Daphnia pulex: one gene and its partner. The protein of the gene in region 1 binds, or shares a complex with, the protein of each later gene. Links are inferred from orthologs where the notes say so. Each region holds a gene or a part of one and is shown on either strand. Other genes may lie near its edges.

Region 1 (3,891 bases):
TCACGAATAGTTTCCTACAAATAAAAGGATTTTTAGAGTTGATGGAATTAACAATTTGAAAGTGATTCCACCTCACATAAATATAAGTCGATCCCCCGCGTTTGTGAACGATCTAAGCAAATCATATTAAGGAAATGTACACAGCACACGCTCCAGCAGCAGCTGCCGGAGCGTGTAGGTTTCGGCAGGTCTTATTCCGTCACCTTATGTCTATAAAAAGACCCGCGTTCGCCGCACGGAACTCGAAACGTATAGATGCCCCAGTTCCTTTCACGGGGAAGTTTCTTTTGTTTATTTTAATTATTTTTCTTTTTTACTTCCCGATTTTCATATCAAAATCCTGTCGATGATTTTCGGGCGTGATTTCAAAAAGAGGTGGACAACGCCTATCGCTCGTCCATTAGCACCGCATTACGTAATTGGGTAGTAGTTTTATATGCGGAATGAAGATGAAATAGAATCAACCCTCCGATGTGGCGATTGATCGCTATCAAAACCATTACAGCATTTATAGGTGTAATGGGGAGGAGGATTAGATTACGTAACAGCTTAATAATATTATATAAAAGCTCTATAGAGTGAAAAGATTGACACTGCGGAGAGCTGCTCAGCCTTTTGGGTGTTTTCGGTTCGTGCCAAAAAAAGCTTTTCACCCATTTCTCTCTGTGTGTTTGTGCTTCTTCTTGCGCGTTCGATTTTTGTTTTTGCTCGGCGTGAGCGAGAGAGGGGAAGAAGCGCCTTGTGTGCAGCACGCCCGCATTCCATCGCTCACGGCTCCTCTGTCCTTGTTGCGCGGCTGCGGGAAAAAAAAAACGAACGAAAGGGAATGAAAGCGACAGAAGAAAGAATATCGAGAAATATAAGAGAGAAGCTGTGCGCGCTGAATATACGGGGGAGGGCCACCTTAAAAAGGCATGGGCCTGCCTTTGAGACGTGTGTGCAAGTTCTACCTTCTCCTCTCTCTCCCATGTCCGTTCATTCGCCTTTTTGGCCCTTTTGGCTCTCGGCTCGAAATACTTGAGCCCCGGCCGTCACAAGGAATTGAAAAGGAAGAAGAAGAAGAGGAAGAAGAAGAAGAAAGAAGAAAAGGAAGTAAAGGATGTTGAAAAAGAAAAGAAAAAATTCAGAATAACCAATAAGCTAGAAGAGGGCGGAGTCGCCTTTAGGGTTTAAATAGGAGCCCTGGTTCGCTTTAGACAGACAGTTGAACAGCTTTCGAACGTAAGTGTGCACACGAGGATTTGCCTCTCCTACCTACCTACCTATTGCAAATTCGAAAGACAAAATTTGTAACATTTTGTTTTCAAACTTTTAGTTTTTTTGGCTTTTGACAATTTTCGATTTTAGTAGACGAAACAATTTTGTTTGTAAATTTTTCTTCACTTCCCACAGTTTTTGATTCAATTTTTGCCTAATAGCCTTTAAAAGTGCCCCTTGATTAGATAAGCCCAGCCTACACAAAGTTGTGACAACTCGGATGTGGATTTTGATAATTTTAAATAAGAACACAATCGACAGTCCTTTTTTAATTGTTGTTGCTCACATTGGCTGATGTTGTTGTTGTTGTTTTGCACACAGGAAAGCGCTCCAGGGCTGTTCTAACGCGTGTTGTCCCGCCGCCGTGTGTGAAGGAGATCCGCCAATCCGAATCCCACACGAATTTCAACCGTCTCTCTCTCCTCTCTCTCATCAACTTGTTTGATTTTTTGTCGTCGTCGTCGTTGATCAACAACTCGAAACAACAAGATGCCTCCCAAGAAGGATATGGGACCCGATCCCGACCCAGCCCAATACCTCTTCGTTTCCCTGGAAATGAAACGTGCTGATCAAACCAAGCCCTACGATGGTAAGAAGGCCACCTGGGTCCCATGCGAGAAGGACAGCTACCAACTCGGTGAGATCACTGGAACCAAAGGTGACCTGGTCGTCGTCAAGGTTGCTGATGGCGTAAGTAGAACACAACTTGTTATCAATTCTTTCAAATCAAAGAGTCCAGTTTATAAACATTTGGAAATTAAAAATTTGATGGGGGGGTTGAAGAGTAGTAATGATTTTGAAATTTTGGAATTAAAATTTGGCCATTGCGCTGCTGTTTTTATTTCTTTTGGGGTGGGTACTAAACTAAATAGAACGAAAAGATGGTCAAGAAAGACCAGTGCTTTCCGGTCAATCCGCCGAAATTCGAGAAAGTGGAAGACATGGCAGATTTGACTTACCTGAACGATGCGGCCGTCTTGCACAATCTAAGGCAGCGCTACTACCACAAACTGATTTATGTAAGTCGAAACGAGAACTGGAATCTACTAATCAATTTCTTTTTTGTTTCGTTTTTCTTTCCTCCCAATCATTTCCCACCACAAAACAAAAATTCGATCCTCCCGATGGTCCTCCAAATTATCCGGAATTCCTCCAATCGATTCCCTCCGTATTTCCAACCGCCCAAAAAACGACCAAATATTACAAAAATAACAGGAGAAAACCTTTAAGAAAGATCAGTGCAGTCAAGTGAACCCCCCCAAATACGAGAAATGCGAGGACATGTCCAACTTGACCTACCTTAACGATGCCTCTGTGCTATGGAACTTGAAAGCCCGTTATACCAACCAGCTTATCTACGTAAGTGCCTTGTGGAGTTAACCTTATAACCTTTTTTACCTCCCTGCCAAACAAACAAACCATGCATCCAAAATCACCTCATATTATCAGCTCCAGCTGTAGTTAGGAGCCCCTATCTCTGATGTTCTATCCCTCGTTTGCTGTGATATTCTTTGTCAACTCCCACAACCAAAAGGGAATTGGTAGGCCTATTTTGATTGCATGTCTACACACTACCTTTTAATAACCTAATTTCATATTCAAATCTAATCCCAACTGACACCACTCTCTATGATAGATCCTCCATCCCCAAAATCGATCATCATCTTGGGTCGACATCCTCCCTCGTCCGTTTTTAGACTTGATTATTCGTCCTATTTTCAAATTTAGGACAGTGTGAATTTGCCACCCTCTACCTTTTTCATATACTCTGTCTCTGTCGTGTGTGCGTGTTTGATTTCGAGTGTTGACGGATCCAGAAGCCTCAAAGACGAGCTCTCTGCCGAACCCCGTTATTCGCCAGAAATGCCCAATTAGAAAATTTGTTTCTTCTTATTTTCATATTTATTATTCCTTTTCTCCGCTTTTATTTCTTTTTGGTTTGACATCATTTTTTCCCTTGTTCTGCTGCTGAGTGTTGTGTGGTTGTTTTTGGTTGTTTTTCTTCTTCGGTTTGGTGTTGTTGTTGTTGTTGTTTGAATGGACAACAACACCACGAGCAGAAAAAAAAAAGAAAAGTGAGGACACATGCTAATGAGTTGATTATTTTGATTCCGATGAAATAACAACAACAGACCTACTCCGGTCTCTTCTGCGTGGCTATCAACCCTTACAAGCGTTTCCCGATCTACACCCAACGTGTCATCAAGATGTACATCGGCAAGCGACGTAACGAAGTCCCTCCCCACATTTTCTGCATCTCAGACGGTGCCTACATGGACATGTTGACCAGTAAGTTGTTTCTCTCTAAGCGTGCAAAAATCCTGAATAAAAATCCTTCCACCCACCCACCAGTAAAAGGAAAAAAAAAAGAATCCTTGGGCTCTATGCAGCTCCCACCAATCGGCAGCCAGAGTTTGGTCGTCAGACCAAACTTGGTCCGATAGACGGGTCTAACCAGTTGCTCCTAATACCCATACAGTAGTAGTAGTGCTATTTCCGGACCCGGACTGGAAGAGATGAGCTATAGCAAAAAGAATCCAGGAGCTGGAGCCAATAAGCCTCAAGGGTTTTGAGCCCTGCAGCAGGGCTGCTGGCTCTTGTGTAGAGAGTAAATGGGATATATTTACCTTTTGG
Region 2 (3,919 bases), on another chromosome or scaffold:
GGCTTGAAAACACTCAAATAGTCTGGGAATGTCTCTCTTGACATGACGTGTCCACCTTCTCAGTCCATACAGGGAAACGACTCTGAAACCTATTGGACTTTTTTTTCTCTGCGTTCCCGCAACGTCCGCGCTCGGTTGCTCGATGCGTGGCTGTGATTGGATATTGTTCTGCCCGCGTAGGGTTATATTTGGAATGAATCGGTACGTAGTAACGCCAGAGAGCCGCGAGTCACTTCAGAACTTTGTCCTGGAAATCCAGGAAAAATTTGTAATTTCGTCGTCTGAAATCATTTGGTTAATTCGCTTATTCGGAACCTCAAAGGAGATTTGGTTGGTTCGTGTTTCTCAACCCGATGCTGATTTGAAGGCATGCCAACGCGCTGATGGTTCCCGATGTGGGTACCGGCGTAACATATACGAGTGAATGTCCGGTTCGGCGGCGGCTCCGTACAGGCGGGCTAAAATAGCCGCCGATGTTGAAGAGAATTTTGTTGTTGCTAGACACTGGAGCAGCTAAGAAAGAGAGAGAGAGAGAGGCAAGCAGGGGAGAGAAGGACAAGTCCAACCATGGGTCGAAGATACACAAGAACGTGACGGTAGTGGGTCCTATCTTTGTCCCGTATGCTGAGCAAGAAAAACCTCCGTTTACTCTCTTGCTCCCCCGACGTTCCACCACCACCACCACCACCCGCCGCCGCCTAGTTTCCCAGTATATGGTCTCCCGTCACCGACAGAGGCGTTGCCAAAAAGCTTCCGCAGTAGCTCAACTTGTCCATTCGACTCCTCTAGCTGGAACTAAAATTAAATCGCCTGCGCAGCGAAGAACGAGAGAGAGAAAGAAATGGAAAAGAAAAAAACGAACGAAAACTTTGCCTTACAATCTTTTCCTCTCTCTCTCTACCGTCTAGCGTCCGATTTCTGTTTCTTTTTCCTTGTTTATTTTCTACCCTTTTTTGAACGTTGTCGATCGGTCCGCGATATTTTGCGTCTGACCACATTTCTAAACTAACCGCCCGAATGAATTCAAATCAAAATAAAGTCACGGGGAGACTTAAAAATAAAAATCATCGCCATATGGTCATTCGTATGAGTCATTCGATCGAGGTATTGTACGGATAACAAGTCGATTATTAATCGGGTACACATGCAGAGCGTATAATGTGCCTGATAGGACAGTAACGGGACATGAGTTGGTACTGCCAACTTACGAATAGCACAAGTAAAGATAGAGAACGAGAGAGAGAAGCAGAAATTAGCATTGACCTAAATATGCAATGTCAGTTAAGGAAGTGTGCGACTTTTAGAGACGAATAGAAGAGAAAAAAAGGGAGGTGCTGCACGAAAGAAGAAGACATTTTTTAAAAAAGAAAAAAAGGAAAAAAAAAAACAAGCAAACGAGGAGGATCAGAGGGAGGCGGGATCGATTGGAAGGCCCTCTAGTTGCGGGTATAAAAGAGCCGGGTACATGTTGCCCGATTGCCTTAGTCTCTCCGGTGCCCGCGTTTTGTGGATTTCGATTGTGATTCCTTCCTTCAGCCTTACAAAACCCCAGCAGCAGAAATGGTGAGACACTATTACCCCCAACTTTTTTTTAAAAAAAACCCCAAAGCAAATTTCATATTCACATTTGATTTGACGAAGCCTTTTAATCATCTTTGCCTTCTTTCTTCGATGGCAGGATCTGAGTGCTCGCGACATTGAAAGTAAGTTTCCTTTTTCAAACCTCATCTGTTTACCTTAGTAGTGCAAAGAAAGAAAAAAAAACAATGCGGTTAATTGTAACACGAGCTTTTTAGTTTAATAGAGTTGTGTGCTAAATGCTCCTCCCAGTGAAAGGGTTTTCTAACCTACATATACGGGAAACGGAAGCGTGTCCAAGTATGGTCATCATCATTCGGTGCCGAGAACAGTTCCGTGTGCTTAGAGCCTATACACATACGCAGTGTGGATTGGAGTGTGTAGGACTTGGCGTTTGCTTTGGCACCGATTGGGACGGGATGCTAAGTTTAGTCGAGGGAGAGGGACTGGCCGGGAGGAATTAGGTTACTACACTACAGGAACTTGAGGGTGGTTCGGGGTGGTGGTTGGGTGGCGGGAGCGAAAGGGAAGTATACACACGTATAGATGAGTCGACCGAATTCCGTCTGCACAATCTATTTTTACACGCCTTCTTCTTCTACTCTTACTCGACGCTCCTGAGCTATTGCTGTTTAGCTGCTTACACCAGAAATGCGATTGTGAGACGACCATATCACCCTATTACTCCGTGACGTTCCAGTTTTATTTCTTTTCCCGATTTTCAGCTGCCACATATTGCCATTGCCAATTCCAACGTTCCTTTCAAATTCTTTACTGGTGATGAATTTCAACGATCGCAACCGATTTAGAATGTTATCGCTCTCCCCTATCGACGCTTTAGAGAAACACGGACGTTATTAATTGTTTATTCTACAAATCTAATTGTTTCGATTGATTAACAGGGGGGAAATTCGCCTTCTCCATCTACGATTTTGAGGGTAATGAGACTATGGACATGTTCTACTTGGGAGACTGCCTCCGAGCTCTTAACCTAAACCCCACCTTGGCTCAAATCGAGAAAATGGGTGGCACAAAGAAGAAGGGTATGTTTGTTTTTGTTTTGTTTTTATTATTATTTCCTGTTTACTTTACACGTTATTTTTAAAATGTCGCATTCATCCAACAGGAGAGAAGAAGATCAAGGCTGACGAATTCTTGCCCATCTTCTGCCAGATCAAGAAAGAAAAGGATCAAGGCACCATTGAAGATTTCATTGAGTGCATGAAACTCTACGACAAGTCCGACAACGGAACCATGGTTTTCGCAGAGCTCCAACACATCCTCATGGCTTTGGGTATATTTACCTGGGATAAATCAACTTTTTCATTTTGAAATTGGCGGAAATATTTGACTATCGCGTTTGCTATTCAACTAGGCGAGCGCCTCGAAGAGAAGGAAGTCGATGACATCATGGCTGCCTGCTGCGACCCCGAGGATGAGGATGGCTTGATCCCCTACAAACGTGAGTTATTCCCATTCGAGCACCTTACACACACAATTATACATCCTGAGATCTTTTAAATAATTTCAAATTTGAAATTTAATTTTTGACGAGTTTTCATAGTACTTCGTTATTACAATATTGATGCGTGGATTAGTGATTATACAACTTATACCTACAGTATGAGTGAGTGTTTAAAACGGGTTGTCAAAAACCTCGTTGTTGAATGACCAACCCGCAAGTCAGAATAGAGTCACAACAGCCTCACATCCTCAGCCGTCAACTCGTCGTTATATAGTGACGATACGCTGAAGGCTGAAACAGAAATTTTTGCACGACCAATCGACATATCGTATAAAACGTTACGATCATATACCCTTTGTCTTCTTTGCCATAGCGTTTCTTAACCGACTTTTGGCCGGACCCTACCCCGACAGTCAGCAATAAGATATTTAAGTGTTACGCCTCTTCAACCCTACCCTTCAACAAAAAAAAACAAAAAAACGCAAACAGTTACACATCCATCAGGTTTGTGGTCATCCTCTAAGTCGTGCAATTCAATTCACGTCTGCTGCTCCTTCACCTAACCGCCGCAACTATGCATGCGCTTCCATCACTATTAGTCATTAAGATTCCGTATAGTCATTTCAACAGCAGAAACTGTTTCATTTGTAACGAGACCGAAGTGGTCGGTTCATTACGATAACCGGAACTCATCTTTACGCTGTTCGCATTACGCTATAAATGGCTTATTACTTTCTCAACGCTTATCTGCTTGAGCTCTCTACATGTCTACGAATTCTATTTCAATTGAGGTGCTCTAATCATTTCCCTTGGGGTTTTTACAGCTTTCTTGGAGAAAATGATTGCTGGTCCTTTCCCGGACGCGGAATAAACATC

Evidence for each region.
Region 2: the proteins of myosin heavy chain, muscle-like (region 1) and myosin light chain 1-like are in contact, whole or in part, in a crystal structure (PDB 5W1A), measured with the Drosophila melanogaster proteins. The link is inferred for Daphnia pulex from reciprocal best matches to the Drosophila melanogaster genes Mhc and Mlc1. Residues at the interface, in NP_723999.1 of Drosophila melanogaster: Arg25, Ile26, Ser29, Asp718, Lys720, Met721, Arg722, Gln724, Ile725, Pro728, Arg776, Leu780, Gly781, Ile783, Met784, Ser785, Trp786, Met787, Gln788, Ala789, Trp790, Ala791, Arg792, Gly793, Tyr794, Leu795, Ser796, Arg797, Lys798, Phe800; in NP_001287569.1 of Drosophila melanogaster: Phe14, Val15, Val18, Met19, Asp33, Arg36, Ala37, Asn39, Leu40, Asn41, Pro42, Thr43, Leu44, Glu78, Gln79, Gly80, Cys81, Asp84, Phe85, Glu87, Cys88, Leu89, Lys90, Leu91, Tyr92, Asp93, Lys94, Glu96, Ala103, Glu104.

Annotation. Positions count from the first base shown.
Region 1 is NC_060026.1:1,464,622-1,468,512, reverse strand, and holds the start of myosin heavy chain, muscle-like, read left to right. Parts: upstream 1-1,072; 5' UTR 1,073-1,221; intron 1,222-1,578; 5' UTR 1,579-1,746; coding exon 1,747-1,947; intron 1,948-2,129; coding exon 2,130-2,276; intron 2,277-2,472; coding exon of another isoform or gene 2,473-2,616; intron 2,617-3,389; coding exon 3,390-3,546; intron 3,547-3,891. UniProt on the Drosophila melanogaster protein: Muscle contraction.
Region 2 is NC_060024.1:12,182,074-12,185,992, reverse strand, and holds myosin light chain 1-like, read left to right. Parts: upstream 1-1,428; 5' UTR 1,429-1,560; coding exon 1,561-1,563; intron 1,564-1,678; coding exon 1,679-1,703; intron 1,704-2,480; coding exon 2,481-2,621; intron 2,622-2,704; coding exon 2,705-2,872; intron 2,873-2,953; coding exon 2,954-3,040; intron 3,041-3,416; coding exon 3,417-3,466; 3' UTR 3,467-3,551; downstream 3,552-3,919.